Linked DNA regions of Caenorhabditis elegans. The main gene of each other region encodes a partner of the protein of the gene in region 4 in a complex. Each region holds a gene or a part of one and is shown on either strand. Other genes may lie near its edges. The genes, in order: sop-3, mdt-1.2, mdt-4 and mdt-15.

Evidence for each region.
Region 1: mdt-15 (region 4) and sop-3 share a complex: the UniProt entries of both Caenorhabditis elegans proteins name them as parts of the mediator complex.
Region 2: mdt-15 (region 4) and mdt-1.2 share a complex: the UniProt entries of both Caenorhabditis elegans proteins name them as parts of the mediator complex.
Region 3: mdt-15 (region 4) and mdt-4 share a complex: the UniProt entries of both Caenorhabditis elegans proteins name them as parts of the mediator complex.

Annotation. Positions count from the first base shown.
Region 1 is NC_003279.8:2,772,331-2,779,716, forward strand, and holds the start of sop-3 (Mediator of RNA polymerase II transcription subunit 1.1), read right to left. Parts: upstream 3,772-7,386; 5' UTR 3,753-3,771; coding exon 3,615-3,752; intron 3,565-3,614; coding exon 3,431-3,564; intron 3,372-3,430; coding exon 3,284-3,371; intron 3,237-3,283; coding exon 3,094-3,236; intron 3,092-3,093; exon of another isoform or gene 3,055-3,091; coding exon of another isoform or gene 2,917-3,054; intron 2,865-2,916; coding exon of another isoform or gene 2,583-2,864; exon of another isoform or gene 2,582-2,582; intron 655-2,581; coding exon 440-654; intron 1-439. Other genes in the region: Y71F9B.1 (uncharacterized protein), read left to right, coding at 2,583-2,864, 2,917-3,054; Y71F9B.13 (NADH dehydrogenase [ubiquinone] 1 beta subcomplex subunit 7), read right to left, coding at 4,103-4,219, 4,657-4,768, 4,818-5,119, 6,187-6,318. UniProt on the Caenorhabditis elegans protein: Component of the Mediator complex, a coactivator involved in the regulated transcription of nearly all RNA polymerase II-dependent genes.
Region 2 is NC_003284.9:17,148,829-17,156,392, reverse strand, and holds mdt-1.2 (Mediator of RNA polymerase II transcription subunit 1.2), read right to left. Parts: upstream 4,872-7,564; 5' UTR 4,871-4,871; coding exon 4,700-4,870; intron 4,638-4,699; coding exon 4,504-4,637; intron 3,800-4,503; coding exon 3,572-3,799; intron 3,508-3,571; coding exon 3,403-3,507; intron 3,360-3,402; coding exon 3,171-3,359; intron 3,124-3,170; coding exon 2,814-3,123; intron 2,525-2,813; coding exon 2,347-2,524; intron 2,301-2,346; coding exon 2,189-2,300; intron 2,062-2,188; coding exon 1,920-2,061; 3' UTR 1,746-1,919; downstream 1-1,745. Other genes in the region: npr-21 (G-protein coupled receptors family 1 profile domain-containing protein), read left to right, coding at 51-216, 643-739, 800-948, 1,003-1,098; T23C6.4 (Caprin-1_dimer domain-containing protein), read left to right, coding at 6,476-6,584, 7,227-7,385, 7,438-7,564. UniProt on the Caenorhabditis elegans protein: Component of the Mediator complex, a coactivator involved in the regulated transcription of nearly all RNA polymerase II-dependent genes.
Region 3 is NC_003280.10:4,939,190-4,945,813, forward strand, and holds mdt-4 (Mediator of RNA polymerase II transcription subunit 4), read right to left. Parts: upstream 4,761-6,624; 5' UTR 4,754-4,760; coding exon 4,676-4,753; intron 4,566-4,675; coding exon 4,311-4,565; intron 4,262-4,310; coding exon 4,007-4,261; intron 3,684-4,006; coding exon 3,447-3,683; intron 3,331-3,446; exon of another isoform or gene 3,164-3,330; coding exon 2,984-3,163; coding exon of another isoform or gene 2,974-2,983; 3' UTR 2,918-2,973; downstream 1-2,917. Other genes in the region: cblc-1 (MMACHC-like protein), read right to left, coding at 1-14, 1,357-1,542, 1,598-1,825, 1,867-1,959; ZK546.19 (uncharacterized protein), read left to right, coding at 2,582-2,686, 2,974-3,129; SURF6 homolog gldi-11, read right to left, coding at 4,991-5,086, 5,137-5,433, 5,476-6,335, 6,380-6,491, 6,547-6,600. UniProt on the Caenorhabditis elegans protein: Component of the Mediator complex, a coactivator involved in the regulated transcription of nearly all RNA polymerase II-dependent genes.
Region 4 is NC_003281.10:5,827,208-5,835,472, reverse strand, and holds mdt-15 (Mediator of RNA polymerase II transcription subunit 15), read left to right. Parts: upstream 1-1,727; 5' UTR 1,728-1,815; intron 1,816-1,959; 5' UTR 1,960-1,996; coding exon of another isoform or gene 1,997-2,089; 5' UTR 2,090-2,135; coding exon 2,136-2,191; intron 2,192-2,414; coding exon 2,415-2,638; intron 2,639-2,688; coding exon 2,689-3,179; intron 3,180-3,251; coding exon 3,252-4,406; intron 4,407-4,756; coding exon 4,757-5,074; intron 5,075-5,152; coding exon 5,153-5,251; 3' UTR 5,252-5,348; downstream 5,349-8,265. Other genes in the region: R12B2.6 (uncharacterized protein), read left to right, coding at 1,320-1,451; R12B2.13 (uncharacterized protein), read left to right, coding at 1,997-2,089; R12B2.8 (ORF6), read right to left, coding at 7,037-7,106, 7,507-7,593. UniProt on the Caenorhabditis elegans protein: Component of the Mediator complex, a coactivator involved in regulated gene transcription of nearly all RNA polymerase II-dependent genes.

The DNA.
Region 1 (7,386 bases), on a different chromosome or scaffold from region 4:
AGTTTTAATTTAATTTTTTAATGAAAAATTATATTTTCAACGAAAAACTATTAAAACAACCAAATTTTGAAGTTACAGTACTTTAAATTTAAAGGCGCACACATTTTCGTATTCAAAAAAAAAATATTTCGTGTCGAGACCTGCAACCGTATTTAGGGGGGGGGGGGGCAGATAGCTCAGTCGGTAGTGGTGGCCGCTAGCAGTCTGGAGGTCACGAGTTCAAGTCCGGCCTCACCCCCTAGGTTCACCCAGCCTCTATTGGGAAGTGGAGCAATCCACGACTGGATTATCGGCCACAGTCCCCGGCTAGGACGTGGCTTAAATTACAGCCCAGAGGGATCACCACCAGGCAGTGTACCTGAATCCCAGATCCGCAGTGCATAGCACTTGAAGAACGGATCGTCCTTTAATCCTTTTTTTAATCCAAAAAAAAGCTCACAAGAAGCATCGGCCTTGGTTTTTCCCTCCTTCTCGGCGAGCCGAATCAAAACTGGCTCCGCAACATAATAAATCCGTCCAGAACGTAGCTCATTACGCGGAGCATAAAATCCATATTTCCCGGTGTTAATTGCAGTAAACGAAGAGTCGGCTGCATCTCGAATGAGCAACTGGTCGAGGGCTCGAAAAGCTTCTTTGCACGCGTTTTTCTCGCTTCTGGAAATTGAAATTATTGAAATTGAAAAAAGTAAGTTTCCTCACTGCAACTTTTTCCTCACGAGGGACGAGGAAAAGTGGTTTCTAGGCCATGGTCGAGGGGCCGACAAGTTTCAGCGGCCATTTATCTTGCTTTGTTTTTCGCTTGTTTTCTTTTGTTTTTCACAGCTTTTTCCCGTTTTTTCTTATTAAAACTGATAAATAAATACTTTTTGCAGATGCTAAAACAATTTCCAACTGAAAAAATTATGTATTCAGTGGGCAAGCAGCTGTGAAAGTGGGCATTGTAATATGATGGATTACGGGAATACAAAACCTAAACTTTTTCTGAAACATGATACATATGCTGCTTAAATGCTGAGACTACCTGATTTTCATAACGAGACCGCTGAAAAAGTTTTGAGGTTTTCAAAATTCAACTTTTTGTGCGAAAATCTCGACTTTTTCACCAAAAAAGTTGAATTTTGGAAACCTCAAAACTTTTTCAGCGGTCTCGTTATGAAAATCAGGTAGTCTCAGCATTTAAGCAGCATATGTATCATGTTTCAGAAAAAGTCTAGGTTTTGTATTCCCGTAATCCATCATATTTGACCATTGACCACTTTCACCGCTGCTTGCCCACTGAATACACTTTTTTTTACTTGGAAATCGTTTTGGCATCTGCAAAAAATATTTATTTATCAGTTTTAATAAGAAAAAACGGGAAAAGGCTGTGAAAAACAAAAGAAAACAAGCGGAAAACAAAGCAAGATAAATTGCCGCTGAAACTTGTCGGCCCCTCGGCCATGGCCTAGAAACCAATTTTCCTCGTCTCTCGTGAGGAAAAAGTTGCAGTGAAATTCTAGATTCTAGCAAAAATCAGCAATTTTTCCCTGAAATTTCAAAGTTCCCGCGCATTTTGAGTCTAATAAAACAGTTTTATCGTAATTATCATCATATTCCCCTTGTTTGACCTTCATCTCTCTTATCAAAAACTACAACATACATATCTTCGTCCGTCTGCGTCTCTCACAACTAGTTATTGCAACAAAAAAAAAAACATTCAGAAGTGGTCATACTTTCATCCATAAATTCGTTTTCTTTTTCTGAAAACCACCTTCAAAATACAGAAAATCTCGTTTTTATCGAAATTTTGGCTTTAAAATAGTTTGAATTTCATTGATTTTTTTATTTTCTCGTTTTTGTAGGGAAATTTTCCTGTATATTATATTTTTAAATAAGTTTCATATAAAATTTTTATAGCTGTATATAAAGGAACATCGAATAGAAAAATAGATATTTTTAACTATTTTCTATAACTTAAAGGTAGAGTAGTCGAATTTTTTAAAATTTCTTTATTAGACTCAAAATTGTCTGAAAACACCGAATTTCATAATGAAATTTCTTGAAAACTTCTCAAAAAAAAGTTATGGCCTCTCGAAAATGGCCTAAAATTAGTGAAAATTTGAAATTTGACCAACTTAAATATCTTTGTCGCAGCAGCTGGAAACAAATTTTTTTTTGAAACTGTCGTCTATTTTTGAGTAAACAAGTAGATTATCTTGCGTTTTCAGTTTTATTAAGGTATTTAAAAGTCGATGGACGAAGAGATTTTTCAAATTTTTTTAATCAATTCTCTTCGTCCATCGACTTTAAATACCATAATAAAGCTTAAAACGCAAGATAATCTACTTGTTTACTCAAAAATAGACGACAATTTCAAAAAAAAATTGTTTCCAGCCGCTGCGACAATGATAAGTTGGTCAACTTCAAATTTTCACTAATTTTAGGTCATTTTTTGAGCGTCATAATTTTTTTTGGAAAAGTTTTCAAGAAGTTTCATTATCAAATTCGGTGTTTTCAGACAATTTTGAGTCTAATAAAGAAATAAAAAACTCAACTACACCACCTTTAAATCAAAATTTCACAAAAAATGGTTTTTTTCTAGAATGTTCCTCCGCGCCACTGAATCAATTCTCGGTTTGGGCCTTCTGGCTTACGGCCTTCTCGAAATCTCGAGAAATCCGACCTGGTGGGCCTATACGCCGGTCTACTTGGTCCCGGCGATCCTCTCCATCATTCAAATTCCACGGAACGCCACGTGGCGCACTCTCTCATCCCTCTCCATCGTCGCCGGCGGTCTCTACACGAGTTTTCTGCTGTGGACGTTCTCCTCTGTGGAATCTATACCGACGATCGATTTGGAAGAAGAAGCCAAGAACCTTCCGCCGGTAATATATTATTGATTTTTATTCTTAAATGATTCAATAAAAATCGTTCCAGGTAGCCCTTGGAGCCCTGCTGATCAGCTTCATCCGTCTCACACAGGATAAGATCTCCCAGCCGGTGCATTATGTCAGATCTTCGATTATTCTCGCTGTCGCTCTCATTAGTTTTTACGCTTTTATTTCATATTTTTAGTTTTCTTTTCCTCTGAAAAATAAATATTATTAGCTTTACAATGTAATTTCCTTCGGAAGTGAGGACAAAATCGCGGTTATCGAATCGCGAAGCTTCGAGAATTCTCCATTTTTCATTAGAGCTAGAGCTCCTGGAGCATCAGTGAGCGGTTGACCGAAATAACCGATTTTGCAGGTACTAATCTGAAAGATAGCTTTATTGTTTTGGTAAAATCCCGTATTCAACGCACTTGATCCTCTGCAACACCAATGTCGATTGTTACATCAGGATTTCTGATTGAAAATCCACTATTTTGAGTTGAAAACACGCAATGTTCTCTGAAAAAAAAATTATTTATAAAATTTTTAATTTAAAAAAAATTTAAAAAAGCACTCACCCTAGGCCTTCAGATAATTGTTGAACTTTTCGAGCAATAGTAGCATCATTATCAATTGGTAAATGCTCTTTCATAAAAACCAGAGAGCCAAGAACGTCGAGACGGGTTCGTGCATCGAGTGTTTGCCTTTTCTCCTGAAAATTTGATTTTTTTTTCAATGAAAAACGGTGGAGATTGCAGTTACCAGCAAATTCCTCCTGACAGATCTCGCAAAATGCTCCCATCCCAGCTTTTCTGCGCTTTGGCGGACATTTTCCATTCGCAAATCTCGATCGATCGACTCCAGGTTTAACTCATGATTTTTCCTCTCTTCAATTATCATGGTAGGTTTCGCTACCTGAAAATCGATAAATATTTAATTATTTGCTGTTTAATAATATAAAAATTGAGAAATTTTAACGAGAAACCCATTAAAAATGCAGTTTAAAATAGAAAATCGGTGCAAAAAATATTTTGTTTTGCTGCGAACGACACTCCGTTATAACGCGGCGCGTGTTGTTTAGCAGGCGGATTTTAGGCCACAGCCACTGGCATCAATTGGCGGGTGTTTGAATTTAGATAATTCGTCTCAGGGTTTAAAACCGGTTTTCTGCAGAAAAAATCGATTTTCAAGTTATATTTTATTAACAAAAATACATCATGTTTCATTAATAATCTACAAACAAAATCAATTTATTCATCATCCTCGTGGTGTCTGGTGCGGTGGCGGCGGAGAGTCTTGATATCTTGATCCCGTTGGGCCATTTGTTCAGCAGCCTGGTCACGGTCACGGCGGTATTCTTTGTAGTTCTGAAAAAGAGAAGGAAATGTGATTTTTAAAAAAAAACGTTGTTTGAGCTCAATTGAGAGGAAAGGTCTTGGCGCGAGCGTTGCAAAATTAAACGTGCGCACGGGGTTCTGGCCTTCCTCATTGAATTTTTCGCGCTCCATTGACAATCGCCTGCCGGAAAACACGTGGGAAAGTACTCCACACGGGCAAATACATTTAGTTTTACAACTAAAATCGAGCCGCGACGCGACACGCAACGCTCCGTAAATCTATGCCAGATATGGCCGAGCCTAAATGACCTAGTTCGGCAAACTCTTCCATTTCAATTTATGAGGGAAGCCAGAAATCCGTGGAAAAGATTAAAAAAAGGAGATTTTCAACTAAAAATACATGGTTTTTTTCTTTAAAAATTCGAAAAATCGATGGCCTAGTTTTTTTTGAGTCCTAGGCCACCTACCAAATACGCCTGGGGTCTCTGCCCATTGCTGGCGCGAACACAGTAGAACAAGTCGTGAAGGCAAGTTGGAAGATATGTCTGTTGAAGCCCAATGTTCACAATATTATCGGCTCTGAAAAAAAACAAGTTTTATTATTAATTTTAAAAAAATTTAAATTTACCTGTTATATGGATAATGTCCACCTTTTGCAAATTTATAATCATTCTCAAGCTGTGCCATACTTGCCGGCCGTCCGTCGAAGAATCCGAGATAAGTTGGTGGATAGTAATTCGGGTAGTACCAGTTACCGAACTGCCCGTAGTCTCTGGCGGTATTCTCATTATAGTAGATATACTTTGGCAGGACTCTCGGCGAGTTTTCGTAGGTCCTCTGGTAGAATGTGTCGGCGACCTGGCGGTTGGTGGTGTCCGCCAGTTTTCCCGGCCCGGGGCCTCCGCCGCTGAAATTGCAGTCCGCGACGAACTGAAAGTTGGGAAGGTTGCACATCATTTTTCGAGTCTCGCAGCGAATTATAACTTAGTCTTGACACGACAATTATCACGTGGTGTCAAAGTGCCCCAAATGCGGGAGAAGAGACGCAGACTTTTAAACTAATTTCGCATAGTTAAGAGTGTGCTGAGAGAAAAATTCCAGCATTTTTTGTAGATCAAACCGTCATGGGACAGCCTGACACCACGTGAATTATTGGTTAAATGGAAATGAACTGTGCGCCTTTAAAGATTACTGTAGTTTCACCGATTTCCCATAGATTTTCTCACGATTTTTCAAAGTTTAAGAGTTTTCATAATATATTTTTATCGAAAAAAAAATCGCTGGAAATTTAGCAACAAAAGTAGATTGTGTCGAGACCGGGTACCGTATTTTCGGTACAAAAATTGCAAGTTATTGCGACTAACTAATATTACAAAGCCGCAGAGAGTTGTCTGTTGAAGAGACGCATACATATCGGGACCCAAGGGGCGTGGCGCGGGAAGAGCCAAAATTGTGTAGATTTACGGAGATCCACCTTGTAAATTTACACGATCTTGGCTCCCCATATATCTGAGTTCCCTGTAAATACCACGCCCACAAAACTGTGCCCATCTGAGCTCAAAAATTCAGATTTCCCATATTTGTGTGACTCGTGGCAAAAATTGAATTTTCCGCAACGTTCAAGGTTCTATGGGCAGATTTAGATTCTCCCGATCAAGATTCCCCGATTCGGAGCACAACGTGGAGCAGACCGCTCGCCTTCAGGACACTAGGGCTGTACAAATCGGCGTCCGGTCGTCCGATTTTGACACCACCGGACGCACTGCGTCCGGTTTTGGGGTAGGTTTCCACGGCGGCCGACAATTTCCGAGTTTCGCCACTCACTATACTTAATCAGCAATTTTATAGTGAGTGGCGAAACTCGGAAATTGTCGGCCGTCGTGGATAGCTACCCCCAACCGGACGCATGTGCGTCCGGTTCGGACGACCGGACGTCCGGTTGTACAGCCCTACAGGGCACAGAAAAATGGGCGTGACCTTTCCGAATCTCCACCTACCTGTACAACATCTTCACATGACATATCCCTTGGTCTTGGCTGAACCTTGTCACAATTGTTCTTGGACCACGAGAGCAGTGTCTCCGGAAGCGGATTCCATCGTTCGGCGAATTTCGCGAACGAGGCGCACATTCTGGCGGATGGAGCTGCTGTTAGCAGTGCCACGTGGCATGAGAAAATTAATATGAGATGATTGAACATCTGGAATTTTGAAAGTAGATTTTGATTTGGAAGCGATTGAATCGAAAAAGTGACCATTGAACAATAATGGAGATCATAAGGTAATGGGTAAAGAAAAACAGAAGAATGATAGAAAAAAGGATGAGAAGAAGGTGTAATCAGACGGGAAACGATTGATTAAGAATCACAAATTTTTGATGAGAAGACGGTTTGAACACACTACGAGACTACAAATTGACGGAAATTGACAAAAAATGTTGACTGTGGCTTTATAAAAAATACGTATAATAAATACATTTAAAAATTAATTGTCATATATTTTTTCTACAAGTTGAAATTCAAAATTTATTGATATGATTACAAAAATTATCCAAGATAGTAGCCAAGAGTCGGTAAATTCAAATTAGAGACATGGTGTTTCGACTTTTTTTTTTCAAAAACCAGCCAAAAGGTATTTACTGCAATTTCTTATAAAAATTGCCTTGCTCGAAACTTCAGCGGCTTATTTCTTGGCTACTTTTGATCTTAACCTAAAGTTTTTAACTAAAAAAATGTTTTAGAACCAAAATATAAGCTGCTAAAGTAGAACGAGGAACATGGTGCATCGACCGGTTCGACAGCTTATATCTCGGTCATTTTTGATTTTCACAAAAAAGTATCAACTGACAAAATGTTTCTCATGTTTTATTTTACAGTTTTACAGTTTAAAATTTATAGATATCTTATTAATGAACCAAGATATAAGCGGCCAAAGTAGAATGGGGAAAAACGAGGAACATGGTGCATCTACCGGTTCGACAGCTTATATCTCGGTTATTCTTAATTTTCACAGAAAAAAATCAACTGGCAAAATGTTTTCCATGATTTGTTCTATAGTTTTACAATTAAAAGTTTATTGATATTTTAACAATAAGCGGAGATATAAGCTGTCAAAGTAGAAATGAAGACATGGTGCATCGATAGGGAATATCTTTGATTATAACTTGCTAGTCTTCAGTTTAGACAAAAAATTGTTAACTA
Region 2 (7,564 bases), on a different chromosome or scaffold from region 4:
GCGTTCGTCAACTCTATATATATTTTGTTTTGACTTTTAAAATTTTTCAGGTACGCCGTCCCTCTAGTAATCCTTCTTTGCATCTACGCTACCATCGGCCTCGTGGTGAGCAAGGCCGCAACAATCACGAAACACTCCGCCAACAAGCTTTTGCCAAGATCAAGCTGGCGATCCGAAGCCTCAACCGGCGGTGTGTCAGTGGAGAAGAGGAGAAAGGTTTGTTTAAAGATTCAGAACATGTGTTCACAGTTTGTTTGTGCCAAGTCGAACCACTTTTTCTCAAACGTTTAGTTCTGAGAGATGACACTTAGCCATATGGTAAAACCAAAAGTTATTGAAATTTGTTGAATTATTCAAAAGTTTGGTATAGGGCAGCATTTGATATTTAGCTTGAAACTTGCTTTTTAAAAAAGTACATGTATAAATCAAAAGACTAGGCACATGTGTTTAAAACCAGTTCAAAAATTGGAACATTTATTAACGGGACAGAAAAAAAAAGGGTCATTCACTGTGAGGAAAGCCTCCAGATTTTCAGAAGTAATATCAAACTACAAACTACAAAATCGACAAAATTTATAAACATACATTTTTCAACAAAAAAGTATTTTGTTGATATATTTCTGACATTCAATTTCACTTCAGGTTGGTCGTTTGGCAGTCGGAATCGTCGTGGCATTCGCGTTCTTCTCACTCCCGAGATATGTATATTTTATGTGGACCGTCTGGCGAGATCCGATGGGTAAGCACGTCGTCCACCTGAACCTCCAAGTTCCAAGATCATAAACATCAAACTTTTCAGCGCCAAGATGTTTGAACTGCCTTCAAAGTGTACTCCAACCCATCAGTTTCCTGCTTCTGTTCTTTAATGCCGCCGTCGACCCATTCCTCTACGCATTCCTTTCAACAAGATTTCGTCAAAGCATCAAAGAAACATTTCATCTTGGAAAGGTAAAGAATGTTCTCCAGCCAAGACATTTTCATTCTATTCGATTCAGCTTTCAGGTGCGTGAAAGCAACATCGAGCAGTCATCACGAGTGCGGCGTAAGGTGTTAAACTCGGAGTTGGAGACGGGTTACGAATATCATAATCACTCATAACAAATGTACATACATGCTTTAAAATTCTAATCCCACTTATTCACACATTCTCACACATATTGCGTTCTGTTTTTGTGATCTCACCCATGATTTTCAAAACTTTATAATGCTATCACCGTTTCTTTCCACAACAGTCTCCTGTCAAATTTGTAACATATACGTAATTATGGATATAGTTTCTGTCAATAATGAATTTGTCAAAAAATCAATTTTTTGGGTTTTCATGCTTAAACAGAGTTTGTAAATTATATTAATCCCAAATTACAAAATTATGCAATCGGATTTCTCAAAAATGTTTTAAAACTTTTTAAGAAAGGTCAAAATTTCAATGATCATTAAATGAACATTGATTTCCGGCCATGTGCCACATACAAACATAAATATTGAAGATTTTAGCTGAATTGAACAGTTTTTTTTTGAAATTTTGAACTGCAATGTAAAATATTTTAAAAACTTTGAAAAGTCTCATTATGAAATTTAGTTGTTTGGGTAAACTTTCGAGGTCTTTGGGCAACTAGAGCTACTTTTATATATTTTCAGCAAGCTTACAATTGACATAATTAAAGAAAATATTGCCCAGTTTGACTATTAAAGATATTTTTGACCCTAAGTAATCAACTTTCAGTATTCATGCAAAAAACCTCTAATCATTTTTTTCTGCTTTTCAGCTCTTTGAAAAATTCAGATGGCAAATTTTAAATAATACAAATGCATATAAAACTTAATTTCAAACATTCACAACAATCAAAATGAGTATCAAATAAGGCTCAAGTATATAATAAAACAAAAACTATACAAACACATCATAAGTCAAAAATCCGTTAGAAGGAACGTCCAGCCGCATAAGTTGGAATTGGGCCCACAGTCTCCGGGTTTTCACTTCTCAACGGAACTTTGATCTTTGCCAAGTTGCAGTCACTACCCGACACGGCGTAGGTAAGCATATTTGGAATGCTCCAAGTTCTGAAATTTTCAAATGTTTTCTCTAGGATGTTCTATGGACAAAGAGTTGGCACCAAAACTGCTATTGACATTCTCAGGAACTTTGCAACAAGTCCTGCGTTTGCGTTAGTGTACGGTTTCAACTTACTCATTGAGTTTTCTGCTCAATGTTTCATCAATCTTTTCAGCAATCTGGAGGCCTGTCTGTGCATGCACAACATTCACCTTTGCCTCACAAACTCCACTATCCTGGATTACAACTGCAAATTTACTTAATATTAAACACTTTATCTATCTAGAACTCACCTTTGACCGGCGCAAATTTTGTATCAAAGGTGATTACAATTTGCTCTCTTGTCAGAAAAACGTCCATCTTGATTGCGGCAACCGTGTGCTTTTTCATACCCTGCTTCTCATAACACGCGGATATCATCGACTCCCAAAGGCTGATATGCATGGCTTCGTTGCGAAGAATTGCAATTATCTGCAATTATAATTTATTTTTATCGAGTAGTGGAATATCTGACTACATATGTTAATGATGTCTTAAATAATATTTCTACTTCTAGTATTTGAACGGACTCACAAAGTTCAATAATTCCCTGTGGCAAAAAACCGAAAGTTGCAAAATGTGTGTCCATATTATGTAAAGCATGCATTAGCATGTATGCTTATTTTCTCAAAACAAAAAAGATACTCAAATGTTTATGTTTTTGCTAATTGAATCATGAAACTGGCGCTTTTAAAATACAATCTATGTTACTACTGCTTACCTCATGAAAATCTTGCAAATGCTTCAAATAAATCTCAGTGATCACAGAGTCACCATCATTGCGCAACTGGTTCACATCGACATTGTAGAAGTGTTGAGTTTGTCCATCGCCAAACTGTGTAATCATCTGCAGGTTGTTCTCAATCTTCACCGCTCCAGTCACGTAGCGATAGCTATTTGTGAAATGCTTAACGGATGGAGTCTTTGCACTGATTGCTCCCAACTTCTTTCTAGTCGTTTCAGTAAGATTGAACCCTCTGGATAGCTTCATACAAATCACAGCGTTTGCTTCAATAGATTCTGCCCAGCCTCTGGAAATTTACAATTTTCAATAATATTAAGATGTGAATGAACTCACTTTGTGTCAAACTCTGGAAGTGTACACGGGCTATCATGCTTGGCAAACGAAAATTCAAAGTATGGCAAAACTTCGTGATCATCCTTTTGTAACTGGAAAATATGATCCTTGGAGCGAATGTTCCGAAAGTGTGGTTCCGCCAAATAATATACACGCCCTGCGCGGAGATCATTACGTGGAAGGTAGAAACTAAAATTAAAATTTTTCATTAAAAAAATAATTATAAAGTTACCCATAGTTGGATCTGTGAATTGAAGTGTAGGAAGGGTCTTGAGAGAAGTGTCCAAAAAGCATCTCGAGCATTCTCATAGCTCCCATGCAGTTTCTACGATCGTCTCTGAAAAATGGGAGTGAGTTCTAGAAGCATTATTTTTTGCTTTGCTCAAAGTCAAACAACATACCTGCTCAACAACTTATCATACGTCAACAGCATATCTGAGATTCGGTTTCGAAGCTCTGTCCACATCCCTAACTGGAGCATTCTTGTAGCTTCTGGGGAGTAGAATGAAGGCTCTTCCCAAAAACTAAGCACAACGGTTGTCACTTCACCATCGTTGACAGTAAAGTCCATGATGAGATCTTCTTGACGATTGATGGACCATCCGCGAGAAGTTTGTTTGTGCAAGCATCTGGAAATAAAAGTGAGCTATGTATTTTAATAAATTTTGAGCGATTAGAAGTTATGGCTAGGCAAATTTCAAGTGGATAACGTTGGAATATGTATAAGTTTTGTCGGACTCCAACGTACCAGGTTTCTAATTTTTTTAAAAGGAAACTAGTCTATCGAGAAACAAATGTTGTGCAGTACTTTCATTTATTTGTGAAATGTAATAATGTGTAAAGATTTCAGAGAAATTGAGTAGGTGCTCACTTTCTTAATTTTGTATATTTAGTACGCGATTATTTTCTAGCAATTGGCAGTCGGTAAACTCTTCTAGTTTTTGACAGGTTTGCGTCTCAATCTTGGATACAAGTACAATATTTTTATTACAAACTAGGGTCCGATGTGGAACTGATTTTGGTTCTTCAAGAAAACATGAAACTTGACAGTGTTTCAGAAAATTTGAAGTATATGTGGGTCTACTCCTTTTTGATTTTTTTCTTTCTTGAAGCAACAGGTGCTACGAAAAATAGATTTCCAAGTTATTAATGCTCAATCGGCAAATGAATTCTACCTTAAGAGCACTCAAAAATTATACATTTTGATGCATGTGAAAAATAGGTGCAAGGAAATGCTCTATCATTTTTAGCAGTTAAATTCTAGGTTCCAAAAAAGCCAGGTTTTTATGGCAGTTTTCTAAATTTAACGCCATTTCTCTAACTGAAAACTTACCCAAGACTCTCAGCCATAACCCGTATCTTCTCCTCCATCAGATTGTTTTCCTCGATTGGCATTTTTGTTTTCATGTACGCAATCCCGTTGAGCACGTCAATTCTACCATCAGCATCGATTGTGTTACGTTTTTCCTGCAATTCATGCATTTTTCAAATTGTCTTTCACAATAAATAAGTTTAAAGAAAATAGTTACCAACAAGTTTCGCCTCACAGCCTGCCCGAATGATGTCCATTCCATTTTTGATGCGGCTTGCCGGACCTGTTCCAATCTCATTTCCTCGTCAATATGCTCAATGTTGAGCTCTTGATTCTTCCGCTGCTCCAACAGGTAAACTTTCGTTTTCGGTGATGGAGTGGAAACCATTCTAAAATCGAAATTTAATCGAGTTGAATACAAATTTACAAATAAGAGAGGAAAGTTAACAATAAAAAATAAATATAAACAAAAAGAAATAAAAAATAAGATGTCGTCTTCAAAGGGAAGTCCGCAAAATGCCGTGATGGTGTTTGCACACTGTCTGCACACTCCTTGGATACCTTATCTCTAGCTAATGCGTGTTTGAGAGAGCGGGAGAGGAACATGGGCAATGGAGGGGAGAAGGACACAGCCAAGACATTAGAAAAGTGGTGTCATAGAACATGGAAACGATGATGAACAATTACAATTGCTAATGGAAAAAAATAAGTATGGGAATTTCGAGAAGAAGAAGAACTTGTCAAAAAAAATTTTTTTTTGCTTTTCCATGCCAGTGTTTTTCTATATTTTCAGTTCAATCCTAGGGCGAATGACAATATTTTTTAGGACCTAATGTGAATCTGGACAAGTATTTGCGGTATAGTTTTTGTTTTTATTGGGGCTTGAAAATCGTTACTAAATTGTGAAAACATCTTGATGGAAACACTCCCAATGATAGCCCATTTTGAATATGACTAAGATATTTTGCCGAGAATACTTTTGAAAATAATTTTTTCATTACAAAAAAAGTAGTTTAAAAGTGTGTTGAAAACGGTTTTGCATTTTAAAAATCACTAAATGATACTGCCACTTAAAAAAATGATTTTACACACATTTATCTTCTTTTTGTATAATACATACATATTCTTAAACAAAATTTGATAAGTTTACAAACGGTCGTACTTTTGTCATTCTACACCCTTAAATTTTTAAAATTTTTCTTCAAATAAAAAATTTATACCGTGAGATTATGCATTATTTTTACTAGGTATTTTTCAATCATCAAAGACTCCTGGCAGTTTTTTAAACTTAATTTCAAGTTGCTTAATATCAAATTTTCCCCGTTTTTTTAAGTTTCATCTAATTTATAAACAAGCTTTATATATTTTCACAACATGCCATGTTTCGGTGGGATTCCCAATGCAATCTCACAACGTTATGAACATTTTTGCTGAAAATTTCAAAAATTTCGAGAATTTTTCCACAAATCGTTCACAATTCAACAAAAAATCTGCTGATCTAAAATTTTCCCAAAACGAATATAGCATGTATCACAAATCTTTCAATGTTCTTTCATCTCTTTGTTGAACCATCTGACGAACAGGTGCTCGAACACTGTTGCGCTTTTTTCGCCTCAACAGATGTTGGACCTTCGAGGAATTGCACAACGGTGCTCTGTGTTCTCCCTCAATTTTCTGGTGGTGTAGCCGTTGTGTGCATTGACTGCGCAGCCAGACCCACCAGTTTCCTCGTCGTCGTCGTCTCTGTTTCAAGTCCAATTTATAGGGCGGGCAGGCGGCTGTGCTGCTGGTTTCGTTGTCTCGCCGTCTTCCATTCTTCGTCTCGACTGGTTGGTATTAGGTCGAATGTTTTTTTTTTTGGATTTTACAAGTTCTCTCTCATCCAATTCTTTCTTCACTCTCATATTTCAATTGGCCACTTCATTTTCGATGTTTGCACACTTGAGCGAACTTGTTTTCGAATTTATAATCTGTAAATTTTAAAGCTAACAAAATGTCGCTGAGCAGTCAACAGCCTGCAGAAAACCAACCATTCGACTTCAAATCATCACAACTTTACTGGAACTCCACAGCTGCACTCATGGAGTCTCAATTCAAAAACAGTGAGTTGATTGGATACACTGAGCTTATGAGCTCGTTTGAGCCAGAATTTCTCATTGAGGATTCCATGAATTCTCTAGAGGTTGTCCACACTGTTGCACTTTTAAATATAGAATGCCTTATTTTTGTGTCGAGCCAAACTTTAACAGTTTAGCGTAGAGCTTGAGTTCTCACATAGTTTGACCATAAACTGGATCAGGTTGTCATGGAGATTCAGAGGTACGAGGGGCTTATTTACTTGGTTGTGTAAGGTGTGAAAACAATTATTATGGGACTAAGAGAATGAGGGGGATAGACTACCTATTTTGAGTTCCTGCTGAGAAACAATATACATGCATATGATAGCGTGAATAATATAAAAAAAGACTGTAGAACAAAACTTAATTGTCAAACAATCACCACTGCTATGAATTTTTTTTCCATTTTTTTTAAAGCGAGAACCTGAACTCACTATCAAGGTCTGCTAGATCTGATCATTTTTGTTCAAAGTCTGAACTTAGTTTGTCCAAAGTTGATCAATTACTCGTAAAGGTTCAATCTGAATAGTGTGCGGTGTGAATTATGTTTACAGAAATTCAAATTCAGATTTTTTTTTTTTGGAAATTGATCATATGTAAAACTTTTGGTGAACTTCATTTTTTTAGTGAAAAACGAGGATTTTGTGTACCCAGCAAAGAAAAAAGTAGGAATGGACGATGGAGCTATTATTCGTGGCGAGGAACATCTCCGAAGACAACAGGAAAGTGCAAAATACAACAATCTACTCACTCGAGACCCGTACCTGGACTATATTTTATCTACAAGTAAGATTTTTTTTCCGAAAAACTTTCTAAATGAAATTTCATTATTTTTCAGTGACCGATGAAGATTTCACCTACGAAACCAAGAAACCCGTGGATCCAAACTATGGTCGTGTTGTACGAGCGTTTGAATTGATGGAGATCGCAGGGGGGTCAAGCGACAAACCAACAGCTGAAACCAA
Region 3 (6,624 bases), on a different chromosome or scaffold from region 4:
AGGCCGATGAATTTCTGTAAAATGTTTATAGATTTATTAAATTTATTTAATAAAAAAGGGTTTTTAATATTATTTTGTTTTTAGAATAGATGGAATATTCTTAATGTTGCCAGTTTTTGTTATTGTAGATTCGCAAAAAATTGCCAGGTCAGTTTAAAGGCACATCATGTATTTTCGAGTGGGTCTCGCCACGAACTCAGTTCAAGTGGCCGCTACAGGTGCCAAATTTTCGCAAATATGTTTGTTAGATGTAGAAAATTACTTATATAATTTTAAAATTTTAAAATTGCATATAGAAAGCTATTATTTATGATTAAAAATTTCGAAGTGGAGGAAATTTTCAATTTTCTATAGATTTTCTAGACAGCTCGGAAAATTTGATAAATTGTGGGAAGTTGGGTCTGACTAGATTAATTAGTTCGGTCAAGTTAGGCAATCCTGGAGGAAAATTTCTTAAATTGTATAAGATTTTTGAAATCATAAAAAGCATTCAATTTGTGAGAAGTTTTACGGATTTCAAAAATAATTGTATTTATTTATTAACTTTTTGAACTAATATTAGAGATGTGACAAAATATCCATTATGACCTTTACGTGAGGATATTAATGTGAAGATCTGGGACAAAGATAAGAGAGAAATTTGCTATAAATTGAGCAGAGTTTACCATAATCTTCACTGTAAGTTTCCACACTCTACAAAGAAGTCGCCAGTGCCCAATCCGTCCCACCAGGAGATATCCAGACCCAGCCGGGTACGAAGATCGTGTTCAATGCACCGTACGACGACAAGCACACCTACCACATCAAGGTGATCAACTCCTCGGCTCGCCGTATTGGATACGGTATCAAGACCACCAATATAAAGAGACTTGGAGTTGATCCACCATGTGGAGTTTTGGACCCAAAGGAAGCTGTTCTTCTTGCTGTTTCCTGCGATGCCTTCGCTTTCGGACAGGAGGACACTAACAACGATCGTATCACTGTTGAGTGGACCAACACTCCGGATGGTGCTGCTAAGCAATTCCGTCGGGAATGGTTTCAAGGAGACGGTATGGTTCGTCGTAAGAACCTCCCAATCGAGTACAACCCATAGGAAATACATCTTGAACTTTTTCCAAAACCAATAAACTTTCATTGATAGCTCGTCTTTTTTTGTTTTTTGGCTGGGCCATAATTTCAGGATATTCTCTTCGAAAAGTTATCCAATCGAGATTCTTTCAAATTTGCAGGGAAAATGGATCCTTTCATTATTTTTACATACAACGAGGATACTGTTTTTTGCTGCTAAATAAATATTTTTCAAAGCTCCTCGTTCGTTTTCTCTCTTTTCCATTTCAATTTGAAAAAAAAACAAACCAAATTTGGACCCATACGGCCTGCAGGAGGCCATGTAACTCCGTCTTCTTGAAAATGACAAGGCTGATAGTAGAAAGCTGCTCCAGCAACATGCCCGCATGTTTGCATCAGAATTTTCGGTCTTCGTTGTGGAGTCATCGAGTAATCGTGCAAAATTTCAAAGTTTTCCTCGACTTTTCGCAGTTTCTGAAAAGAAAAAGAATTCATTTTCTTTTTTAATTTCTCAATTTTCCCAACAAACCTCGCTCATAATTTCAAGACGATCCTCCAAAAAGCTCTGAATTGGAGATGAGACCATCTCACAAACTTCATCGAACGATCCGAAATCCATTGTTTTCTGTACAACCCATTTACGGAATGCAACGTCAAACATGTCAGGAGTGCTGAGAATTAGAAGAGCCATTGTTGAGTCATCGTACGGAAGAGCAAATGGGCTACTCTCACCTACTGCTTCATTGTAAGATCCAATCTGAAGGACGAACTTGATGATTTAAATGATTTTGGAATTACCTTGAACATATGGGATTCAAATCCTTCGTGTGAGGAGAGTTTTTGGTCGACAACTCGTTTGATGGATTCTGCATGGCTCATTTCAGTTACCATATCTGAAAACATGGAAATTATTATCTAGACGCAATGTTTTGCGTCAAAAGTACGATGCCTGATCTCGCCACGACAATTGTTTCATTTTTTCTAAATAAGAAAGGTGTGTTCAAACTGTCGTGTTGATTTTGGTGAAATTTATGCTTTATTCTATCGAAAACTATCGGAAAATCGATGAAAATTATATAGCAACAAAAGTTTGAAAGTACAGTACTCTTTAAAGGTGCACATCCGTTTGTATTTAACAACAAATTAAAGAAAGCTTTGTCGAGACCAGATGCAGTATTTTTTGCCGAAAAATCGCAAATTTAAGAGTATAATAAGATAGAAAGTATTAATTCAATTAAGAAAATTCAAATGAAATCTTGAAGAATCCTTCCGAAACAAAACATTCCACATGTATTGTATTCAAGAATCAGGACCGCCCATCTATATCTAGATTAGTTGTGTGGAGGCAAGTCAAAAGAAGATGTGTGGGAATGTGTCTGATGGGAGAGATAATTTCTTATCTATTACCAAAGGGCAAGTAATATAAAATGACATAAAAAACGAAAGGAGGCGAAATTTTACAACTTCAACTTTTCTTCAAACTGATTTGAGCCCACAAAAACAAAAAAAAGTGATGGCTAACAACACTTTCACTGCAACATGTTTTGTGCATCTTTTCACGTACTCCGCATCTCTCTTGTCATGGGTGGTCCCTTTCGTTTCTGCGTCTCTAGATGGGGTGAGTGTTTTTTTAAAATAAGATTTGAATCAAAAGCTAACTTAGGTATATTCCAAAATTTGGCATATTTCTAAATATAATTAGTTACTAGAATTGTTGAAAAAAAAGTTCAAGGAGTAAATAGATTAGAGGACATAAAGAAAGAAAGAAAGGCAGCTGGCATAGCGGTAAACATGGCGTGGACACTGAACCACATGCAATCAGTTAGTGTCACTGTTAAACACAAGATATATAGAAAATTGTGTTTATTTATCAACGTACAATAAGTAAAATACCAGAATTTACAGAGATCTTTCATTATTTATTGCTACTGCCAGTCTTTTTCGATGCGCCTTCATCATCTGAACTATCTGACGAGTTGGAGCTGTCCGACGACATTTGTTCGACATCCCGCACATCTTGAACTTGATCGATACCTCCTGGACGATTCGGAAGTCCAGTAATTTTCAGCTTCACGTTTGGCGAGGAAGAAGGACTCTGAAAATATGTTATTTATTGGAAAATTATAAAATAGCAGATAAATGTAGCCATATTTAGATGTTCCGCGCCTAAGAAGACGAAGAATGATACCTATGGCGTTGTTATAGCACACGTAATCAACGATAAAGCCTTTGAAGCCGGCAATCTCGACTTTCTGTGTGCATTGAGAATCGAACTGGTGGACAGCTGAACAACGGGCAAACGCGTTACCACTGCGCCACCCGTGCATCATTTGCGGGCCGCCAGTAACACTGTCTATGTACACTCGGTTTGCACTGACCTGCGAGACACGGTTGTAAGGGGATTGCGTTGAGGTGGCTCCTGAAACTCCCGGATTCTGCCATTGCTTTTCATTTGGAGTGGCTCCACGGAGTACTTGCTGTTGAATCGGTGGAGGCTCGTCGGTGCCAAAACCAGTTCGTGGACTGAAATCTCCAGTCGGAGCAGAATTAATAAGAGGAGTGCCGACAGTTCGAATTGGAGCTGTTCCACCGTTGGATGAGGATGCGGATGGAGACTGAAATAATATTGATTGAACGTTGAATCTTAATTTTATTTATAAAATTTACTACGAATAACGTAGAAGGAAAGAGATCACAATATGAACTGAATATTTCTTATCACTCATAATTTGATCATTAGAAGGAATGACTGTTAGATAATGTAAGAAGATAAGACATAAATCACGTGATTCACAGCTGTTCGGTTACAGTGTGAAAAGAATTTCAGATTAACGTAGAAAACATTAGAAGTATTGCATTTATATAAATGCATTTATAAATGCATTTATCAAATATTTCAGGTGAGGATTCACATTTCAACAAGTTTCCATAAACATACCGTAATAAGCGGCCTCTGAGCGACGTTCTTTCCGGGTAAAAGCTGAGGTCCAGTGCTCTGAACTTTTGAATTCAATAGGTGACCAGCTCGAAATTCGTGTTCCTGAGGAAACGGACGCGATGGATCTCCCATTTGCCAAGTGAGTGGTGCAGATACGGAGTTGTGCTTACTGATCTGATGAGCCAGTTTGATGAGCATCTCACTATTGACTGGTCTCAATTCAGCTTCTTTCATTTGCTTGAGCTTCTGGTTTGCCTGAAATAAACGTATTTCGAAAAAAGTCTTTGTTTCCAACAAAATTTACATGAAAACAAGATCGCGTCAGAGCCACCTCACATGACTTCAAATTCGTTTCAAGTTGTTGAATAACTTCGTCTCGTTTCTCCACGTGGGCTTCAAGCGTCCGAATGAGCTGCTCTCGTTCTTGAAACTCAGGAACCCTCTTCAGCAAAGTCTTTATGCTATCCTGTTTTGAGTCAAACAGCTTGATAATGTTCGTAACGGTTTCTCCATTTTTCAGCATAACACTTTTGTCCCGATTGATGAGTGTATCGACGATCTGAAACAATAATTGATTATGTGGGTTCATGAATTCTATAAGATGAACTCACAGTAAAAAGTAATTTTAAAATAAACTATAATATTGTTTCAAATTTTTTTAGAACGTACCATTTTAACAATATGCTCCAAATCATCTGCAGATTCCAGGAGCAAATCCCGTAGACTTCGTTCATCTGTTTCTGCCATTTGAGATCTAGAACAATACAACCATCGAACATACATTAACAACTTTTAAAATAATTAATTACCGAAACAACGGCACAAGTTTCAAAAAAAAAGAGAATATTTTTCAAAGAATTTAGTATAATTTGAAAACTTAAAAACTTAACAACAGGCCACAGATTTAAAGAAAAAAGTTAACAGTAAAAATTAACAAAAAAATGTTCAACAACGAGAAATTAAAAGCGGATAAATGTGTGTTGTTTAGAGGATTCTTCCCTTGTTTCTCAACTTGTTCATCTTTCTCTTCTTGACGTCATCGATGCGCTTCTGGAGATTCTTCTTTCTCTTGTCTTGCTTCTGAAAAATAAAAATTCAAATCTTAAAGGATTTTCTACCAATCAACATACCGTTTGCTTCTCTCCCTCCGTCTTATTCTCTCGGTTCTCCCATTTCTGCTTTCTTCTATCCTTCATCTTATTCTTCTTCACCAAAGCCTTCTTGAGCATTCCCAAATTATCTTTCACTTTTCCACCAGCTGCTCTTTTCAGTGTTTTCTCCCACTTTAGCTCATCTTCCATGATGGTAGCCTTATGTGGATCAGCTTCGCGAACTTTGGCAATTGTTGCTTTTGTCTCTTCGACTTTAGCGATAAGTGATTTATAGTCACGTCCGGTAAGTTTAAGAGCTCGATCTTTTTTGGCGGTCTGAAAATTTCAGATATTTCAGATAAAAATATTTTTACTCACTCTTTGTTTCTTGCCCCTCTGCTTGTCTTCTTTGATTTCAAACTTGAGATTATTGAATGAAATTCCAGATTTCTGCTTCTCGACAGGCTCATTGCCATTTTCTGTGCTTTCAACAGTCTCTTTCTTCACTTGAGCTGCTGCCTCTTTTCCTTTCTTCTCCTCTGCTCTTCTTTGTTTCAGCTTCAGCTTGCTCTCCCGTCTTTTCAAACGCTTCTCCTCTGCCATTTTTTCAGCCATCGCTGATGTTACCTTCGCCGGTCCTTTTCCTTTCCGCTCAACTTTCATTTCCTTCAGCTTTTTCTGCAGTCTCAGCAAAGCGATTTGACGTCTGATTTCGGGGGATTCATTGTCTTCATCGTCTTCCAACTTTTGAATCTCCTTGTCAATTTTTCCATTCGATTTCAGAGTAGATTGTGCTACGGTTTTGTTGGGTTTAGATGGTGTTTCTTCTTCTTCGTCCGTTGAATCGCTGTCCTCAGCCTCTACAGCTCCATTATTTCCTTCAGGCTCTTCTCCATCTTCACTGTCTTCATCATCATCTGAAGATTCTTCTTTCTTTTGCTTCTTAGCAACTGGCTCGTCTGTTTCTTCTTTCTCCTCGTCGTCAGATGAATCATCCTCTTCTGAATCAGAATCAGCTTTCTTATCTTGCTTTTTCTGGTCTTTCTTCACTACTTTTTCTTTATTCTTGTTCTGATCCGCTGGTCTCTTCACCGGTGCAACAACCTTTTGTGGTTGCACTTTCGAATGCTGCTTGCTTTTAGACATCCACTCGAGGACTTCTTGAACAGTGTTTGGAACCAATCCTAAGCCTTTCGCCAGATGTTGTTTCTGTTGTGCAGACATTGACTTTCTTTCCTCTGAAAAACATACAGAATTTTAAAGAAATTTATCAATAAATTACTTTTGCTGAGTTGTCGATTAACCAAACTGTGTTTTCGCATCTTCAATGATTCTTTGACATCATCATCAAATCCCCAAGAGTTAACTGGAATCAGGTTGCAGAAGGAGAGCATCTGAAATTAAAATGTTTTGTTTCTCGGCCACTTTTCGAGGATGTGTGTACGCTACCTCTTTTTCAAGAATGTCCACTGCATCTTCTACAGCTTCTAATGTTTCTGCCATCTAAAATGCTTAAAATTAGTATTT
Region 4 (8,265 bases):
ATTCTGAATTTCCCTGTCAGCACCTGCCCTTCGTCTTTGCTCAGGCAATCAGCACCGAACTCTCTCTCTGTTAGAAAATGTCGCCAGTTGCTCGGGCTCTTTCCCTCTCTCTCTATCTCTCTCTCTATCTGGCTCACCGACCGCGTGGTGGTGCTGCTTCGTCGACACGCTCGTTTGGTGATAAATGATTTGCTCCCCCTTTTCGTTTTCTTTTTCTTCTTGCGTTGATTTTTCACATTGTTATTGCACTTGGCAGTGTCGTATTTTTGTGTTTTTATTTTGACCCATAAGTTCTAATACGATATCTTAGGCTCCCAGCTTGACTGGTGCTCTCATAATTTGAAATCAGAAGTTTTTCTTTTAAAAATTGAAAAAAGTGCACATTTTTCTTAAATTTTGAAGCTAAATATTTGAAATCTTCCACACTTCTAGTTTAATTCTCGATAACATCTGATAATTCTTTCCAAAATTTCAGGTCGAGCTGGCAAACATGGAAAAGCAATCACATTCCTCACACCTGACGATACTGCCGTCTATTTCGACTTGAAGCAGGTAAAAATTGTGGACGGACACCTTCCAACACACGTGTAATTGGTTTACTTTCCAGTGCGCGCTAACCGAATTCCCTTTCGTCTTTTTTCGCGCGCGCTCTCCGGCACTTCACACATGTGTTGTGGTGCTGGAAGGTTGCCTAATTTCTTGCACTTGAGCTGGTTTTCTCTCTGCGACGAAAATGGATTTTTTGTTAGGCGGAAAACGGAATTCGTTTTTTTTGTAAGAAAATGAAAATTATTCGGGAATGATAAGACCGGTAAAACGTTCCATAAGATAAGAACATATTTCAGCGTTCTAGAGCAATTTAAAACAAAAAAATGTTGTGATTAATTCTACAATTTTTGCGCCGAAAATACGGTACCCGGTCTCGACACGACAGAAATTGTTGTTAACTGCGAAAGGTCTGCGTCTTTAAAGAGTTCGGTAACTTCAAATTTTCATTACTGCGGTAATTTCAAATTTTCATTTCATTGAGTTTTCCCATAAATTCATAAATATATTTTTTTATCGAAAAACAATGAAAAATCTTTAAAAATTCGACTGAGATTAAAGTTTGGAGTTACAGTACTCTTTAAAGGCGCACACCTTTCACATTCATCAAGAGAGTGTCGTGTCGAGACCGGGTGCCGTTTTTTTGTCAAAAACTAGAAGAATTACGTTGACGCGAAATGTATGTCCCCTTGCTTTACAAAATTTTATACACAAAACATTTAATTTTTAAATTTTCCAGGTTCTCGTTGAATTGCCTGCGTCGTTATGCCCGAATGGACTCGCGGAACATGATGCTGCACGGAGCAAACCTAGACAATTCACATCTTGATGTGAAAGTGAACTTTTTGTTTGAAAATTTCAAACATTTTTCAGTTTTTTTAAAACTTACCAAATCTTCCAAATAATACTAACCACCACATATCTTCCATTAAAAAATTTAACGTTTTTCAGCGTTCTGAATATCTTATCTCTCTGGTCCATTTCTCCTACAGAATATCTCTATCTCATAATTGCCTATTTTTATTTGTTTTTCTTTCTTAATTTCAAGCGTTTGGGATATCTTATCTCTCTCAACTCCGTTTATTTTTTTCTCCTTATCCGTCTCCTTATCCGTATTCCTTTATTATTAATCTCTTCTTCGTTCAACATCGCTAAATATTTTTTTCAATTCCTAATTTCAGGTCAAACCGGGGAACGAATCAAAAAGTGATTTTGCCGTCGGCGATCCGAAAATTTTGCCGGCTCGTCGACTATTGACGAGAACAAGAGGTGAGAAAATGGGGAACTTTTTGATATTTCCATCCTGATCTTTTGTGAATTGAAAGTTGAATCACAATAGATCGATGCACCATAATACAAAAAGTGACAATTTTTCCCCACTTTCAACCATCCATTATTCTATTTCTTTTGCAGGAATCGTCGTTATTTTTCGTTTGCCGCGTTCGTCGTTTTGATTTGTTCTTCATTTTCCTTCTTGTCGATAATTGTGTGTGAATCAAGACGCTCAGAAAGCCGCCGCCACGTTGACGTCGACGGTTGTTGAATCGCTTGCAAAAGCAACATTTCAAAAACAAGAGCAGAGTAGAAAGATGAGCGAAGAGGATTGGCCTTCGCCGAAATTTCGAGAGCATGTTATTCAGAGACTGTAAGCTTTTTTTAAAGGAATATTTTTTTGATAACCGAGAAAACATTTTAAAAAATTTTTTTTTTGTTGAAAATTTCCAAAAATTTCCATTCAAAATTTTGATAAATTCCCAAGTATTTGTAAATTATAAACCATAGGAGCTGATGTCACAAATGTATCCAGGCTGTACTCTTTTTAAAAATGAAAAAAAAATCCCGAAATATAAAAATTTTCCAATTTTCAGTGAGCCTGAGTTGGCGAGAAACCGGCAGAATGCCCCAAATTTACCAGTACCCGGTGACGCGAGGCAGGTCGAAGAATATGTGTTCGCAAAGTGTATGTCGAAGGACGAATATATGAGGACGATCGCAAAAGTGATTAATGCTATCAATTGTAATAGTAAATCAGCGGCAGTGCCTTCCGTGTTACAACCATCACAGTTTCATAGTCCGCCGTGTACGACAGCAGGTAACTTTTTGTAGTTTTTTGTGGCAACGAAAATCTAAAATTTCAATTAGCTCTATTAGGAAACACTCCGGCTGGCGGAACACCCGGATATCGAGCTCCTGTGCCTCCAGATCCACAACCAACATCAGCTCAGGCAAGAAATCCACCTGTTACCGTAGCAACAACACAGGCATCAACAACTCCATCAGCACCAAATCCGCCAGGAGGATTGCCTGCTCCATCAGCTTCTGCCACTGCTGCTGTTGCCGCCGCGGTTGCTTCATTTCCATCACCAGATACAAGTATTCGTCCAGGTGGACAGATCACTCCAGGATCACAGGCACCCGGTGGAGGTCCGACGCCGGCACCAAATGTTCCATTCCCAAATGGAAGCAGCCAGATGAATGGTGGACCAGCAATGGGTCAGCCACCACCGCAAATGGGTGCTCCAAATATGGGTGGACCACCGAATGGATACGGTGGTTACGGTATGATGAATGGACCACCTGGTAGTGGTGCTCCAATGGGTGGAAATCCGTACAATCAGCAGATTAAAAAGGATGTGAGTTTATTTTTCAAATGTATTTTTTTTTAATCTGCTAATTTTTCAATTTTTGATTAATTTTTTTTTCAGATGGATCAAGCTCGTCCTTGGGATCCTTCAGCACATATGTATCAACAACAACCACAATGGGGTGCAATGCCACCACAACAACCACATGGATATCCTGGAAGACCAATGAACGGTCAAGGAGCCACTCCAACCGGTCCTTCATCAGTTCTTGAATCACTTATCAATCAGCCTCAACAATATCCAGGACATCACAATCAGATGGGCCCACCTGGAGATCGAAATGTTGCTGCTCAACGTGCAGCTGCCCAACAACAGCAACAACAACAACAACAGCAGCAACAGCAACGACCCGGAATGGTTCCAAACCAGGGAATGATGAGTTCCGAGGATCAAACCGTGTATTCTGCGAAATTGAGAAATATGCGTGGAAGCTGCGACAGTTTGAGAACACGAGCAAGGCAATGCAGACATGAGGGTAACCATGAAGCTGCTCACAAGCTTGAGGTTATGCTCAGTGTGCTCGAAGGAAAACGTGTGGTTAGCCTTGAATACTTGAACCATTTGGAGATGTGGATTGCCAGAAAGCAAGACTTCTTGAATATTGCTCCAATGTCACAGAATCAGAATCATATGGGAATGAACGATCCGATGATGAACGGTGAACATGCTATGTTGGGTAATGGTCAGGTGCCAAATCCCTACGGAGGACATCCAGGTTATGGACATCAGCAGTATATGGGACCTCCACCACCACATATGCAAATGCATCAACCACCAATGTGGCATCAACAGCAACACCAACAGCAGCAACGAATGATGCCACAGGATCATATGATGATGCAGGGTGGAGGTGGTCCAGTTCATGGAATGTATCGTGGAGATATGGGACACGATCCGATGACATCACCAGTCAACAATCATCGTCATGCTCCATACCCGAATCCTGCAGCGATGAGAAACAATATGAGAATGCCAAATGGTCCTGGACCAATTGGAAGAGATCGTAATTCGATGAGTGGATCAAGTATGTCAGGTCCAAGTTCTGGAGCCCCTTCAATGAATCCAATGGGTACACCGAATCAAAAAATGGGAACACCTGGATCAATGGGTGGAATGTCAGGACTTGATGATCTGAACTATGATGATTTCCTTCCAAACCCAACGCCGATTGATGCACTTCAGCCAACATTGCACGTCGGGCAGAATTCGATGAATGTAAGTTTTATATTAAAAATTGAGTTTCTCAGCTTTCAAAAAAAAAAAACACACAAAGTATCCTCAAATGATTTTTGAAAAAAGTGAAAAATAATTGTGTCGCCGAAAACACGAAAAAAAAAATCGAAAAACGAAAAACCTCTGATCTCAAACAGGGACACCAAAAACATTTTAGACCAAAAACAAAACATTTTCGTATTTTTTCTTCTCCCGACTAAAAATCAACATTTTCGCAATTCAGTTTTTTTTTCTTTTTTTGGTCCGAAAAAACCAACAAGATTACCAAAAAATCTATTTTTACAAAAAAAAAATCAACAGCCAATCAATAATCTCAATCAATAAATATTCAGGCTGGTCCACCAGTTCAACGATCAAATCTCAATGAAACAGCAAGAAAGGAACTTCAAATCCTTGATGCTCGATTCGAGATTGATCCAAACCATCAACGTCATGATGCCAATCATATCATTGTCGTCTGTAAAATCCGTAATCAACAGTTCCCACCACTTCGACTCGTTGTTCCAACCACTTATCCAGCTGGAAATGTGACTGTAGATCGAGCAGTCATTGATTTGGATGCATATTTGTATGATGATCTACAAAATTCAGTATATGAGAGATTATCACGACCCGGTCTTTCGTCAATTACTGACTATTTGAATGCTTGGGTAAGTTCTTTCGCTGAGAAAGGGAAATTTATGAAAATTGCACTTCAAATTGAATTTTAAATTTATAATTTTCTACAGGAAGAACAAGTGAATCAATACCAAAACCAGACAAGCGGTGGTCTAGACGTCGCTTTCAACGTGGGCAACGATTTCTTCTACGATAATCTTAACTTGTAAGTTAGGTAGAGTGCATTAAGTTTCTTTTTTTGTGCCTGCTCACTAAAAGTTTTGTTATTCAATGTTTATTTTTGTAAAATAATAAAAAATATGAAAAACATTATAAAATAAAGTTGGAAGTGAAAAAATTCCGGAAAGTTTTAATTTTTGTAATAACTTTACAAAAAGTATTACTCAAACGCGAAAGTTTACGATTTTTCACCAAAATTACGGTAACCGGTCTCGACACGAAAAATGTTGGTCAAATGCGAAAATATGTGCGTCTTTAAAGAGTACTCTATTTTTTCATCGTTTTTTGATTAAAAAAATATATACCTGTCAATCTAAAAAAAATACCCGAATTTGACAATGAAAACACAATTAATATGATTTGAAACATGATTTTAAAATTACAGTACTCTTTAAAAACGCAAACCTTTAAAAAAATTAGAAGACAGTTTTTTTTAAACAAACTGTTTTCTTCTCAATCAATGTTTTCTAATTTTCAGGTCAAATCCGTTCTAAACTCCGCCTCGTCTGAATTGAATTGCTCAGTTGCACAAAACCTGTACAAAAAAGAAAATCGAGTCTTCGTGGAATGGATTCAGTTGTTGTTGTCCTCTATAAATGATTGTTTTGCCTCCTCCTCCTATCATCAGCTTGCCCTTCTATCCATATCAGTTTTTTTTCCTGATTTTTTCCTTGTTTCACGTTTCCGAATTCCATTTTCCACGAGACTCCTGCCTCCGAATCGATTCCTAGTCGTAATCAGACTCAAACCTGTCCAATCCTCATTTGAAATACGGTTCAAAATTTCCATTTTCCTCTCTCTCCTCTCCCCTCATCTGAAAAACTGTGTAGTGCGTGAATAATTAGTCCCCAATTTCTTCTTCGTCCTCTTTGAAAAATGTGATAATAGAAAAAAGTTCTGGAGCTCAACTACGTGTCTTTTTAGGCTCTCTTTCGATGAGCATCGTGAGCTTCTGATACTCCCTTCCCTTCCCTTTCTACACGTGTGTCTCCCTGGTCTATATTTCATTATTTTTTCCTTTCTCACACTGTTCAAAAATACCTCAAGAATTTTTATATTTTGCCCAGTTTTTCCCTCCCCCAGCAAGAAAAGTTTAGTGATTATTATAGAAATGATAGAATTCGAAACGCGTTCATTTACTAAAATCAGGGATTGTTTTCTTTTTTTTTGAATATTTTTAAAATATTTGTTCTTCTCATTTTGCTGCCTTGTATATGAGATTAGTTTATCATTGAAACTGTAGATTTTAGCGTGTGTGCATTTGTTTGTACATCACATCATTTTAGATTCTTTCCTCCTCGTTTTGAATCTGTGATCCGATCTTTTGTCTGAAAAGTATGTTCTCTTTCAATTGTCTTCCCTTCCCACAAAAACCGTTTTTTTATCCTTGTTATTATTTTGTTTTCATTCATTTTTCACCCATTTTCTTCTCTCACATATTGCACCTCTTCTCCAAGTCCTGTGTACATTTCTCTTGCACCTTATACATCCAAACGAAAAGGCAATAGATTGTAATAAGTTCTCCGTTTTTACAGCCGTCCCAATTTTCTCTCGCTAATTAATCTCAAAATATTTTATTTCGTCTTTTTATATTATTTTTGTTCCACATTCTTTTTTCATAAAAAAAAAATGAAAATACATAAATCGATTAAATGCAATGAAAACCAAAGATTTACAATCCGATGATATGAAATATCAGAGAAGAGAATGAAAAAGAGGGGGATGGCAATGAAGTACCTGTTGATATAAGGAGAAGAAGAGAAAGAAGAAGCAGTTCAGCGACACTGGAAGCAGAGAGCAAAAAATGCACCTGCTACGAATCCGATTCCTGCGATGCTGGCTGGGCTGAAATAGTTTTATAATTTATATTTGGGACCAAAAGTATGCATCTAGAGCATCTTTAAATTTTGTTTTGTTCGAGTTTCCGAATAGAGCTCTGCAGCTTTAAAAATTGATTACGGTAGATTTACTGTTAATCTGGGACGAATCCATCAGAAACCTCGATCGCGATGTGCCCAGTATGCTCGCTGAAGCATTATGGGCCCAAATAAACTCTGATTCTCCGTCATCCCATTAATTTATTTTTCAAAGACAGAGATAAATGCATTATTAGTTATGATGTATGGTTCTTGCGTTTTGTAGTTTTCTTGAGCAGTTAAATTCAAATTAAACTGAGAATATGCCAAGTAACACAATTTCGTATTAAGTACCTCTTATCGAACTTTAGAATTAGTTAAAAACTCACTAGACCCAATATCGTAACCGATAGCAACATTCGTTATCACAACATGTTCCAAATGAGAAGAACGTGTCCAGTTCAGGATCGGCGCATCTGAAAAATTGAAAATTTAGAATAAAAATTGTCCGTGAATAATAATAGTTATAAAGCCATTCTCACAGTTCCTATATCCTTAAAGACTACAGAAATACGATAGGAGTTACTCTTTTTAGTTACTAGAAATTTTTTCAAAGTGCAAATTGTTACGCAAGAATACAATAAACGGTCTCGAGACAACCAAAATTAATCTATGGAATACTGGACACTGTAGTTCCCACTTTTCGCTATCTACAGTACACTACAGTACTCCTTGAAGGCGCACACTCTTTTTAAATCCTTTTAAATATTTAGAAATTTCGTGCCGAGACCGGGAACCGTATTTCTCATGAATTGCGATGAATCTGGGTAATAAAAGCTTTCAAATCTCCCCTCGCTCCAGGAGGACTTATAATTCCCTCAGAGGTTCAAATAGTCCATCATGATTTTTTAGGGAAATTCCCGACCTCCAGGAACATTATTCATCTTCACATCTTTTGCCCCCATTTTTCTTCTTTCTCATCATCACCCAAAAAAAAAGAAAAAAAGAAAGAAATTCCTCTTCTTCTTCTTCTTCTATTTTCTTATCCATTTCAGTTGATCCTCAAGGGGAAAGGATCTCTCTTTCTCTTCCTTCCCACCCGTTTTTTCCCAAATTACCCTCCATTTTTTGCGCCTTCCGGAGTAGAC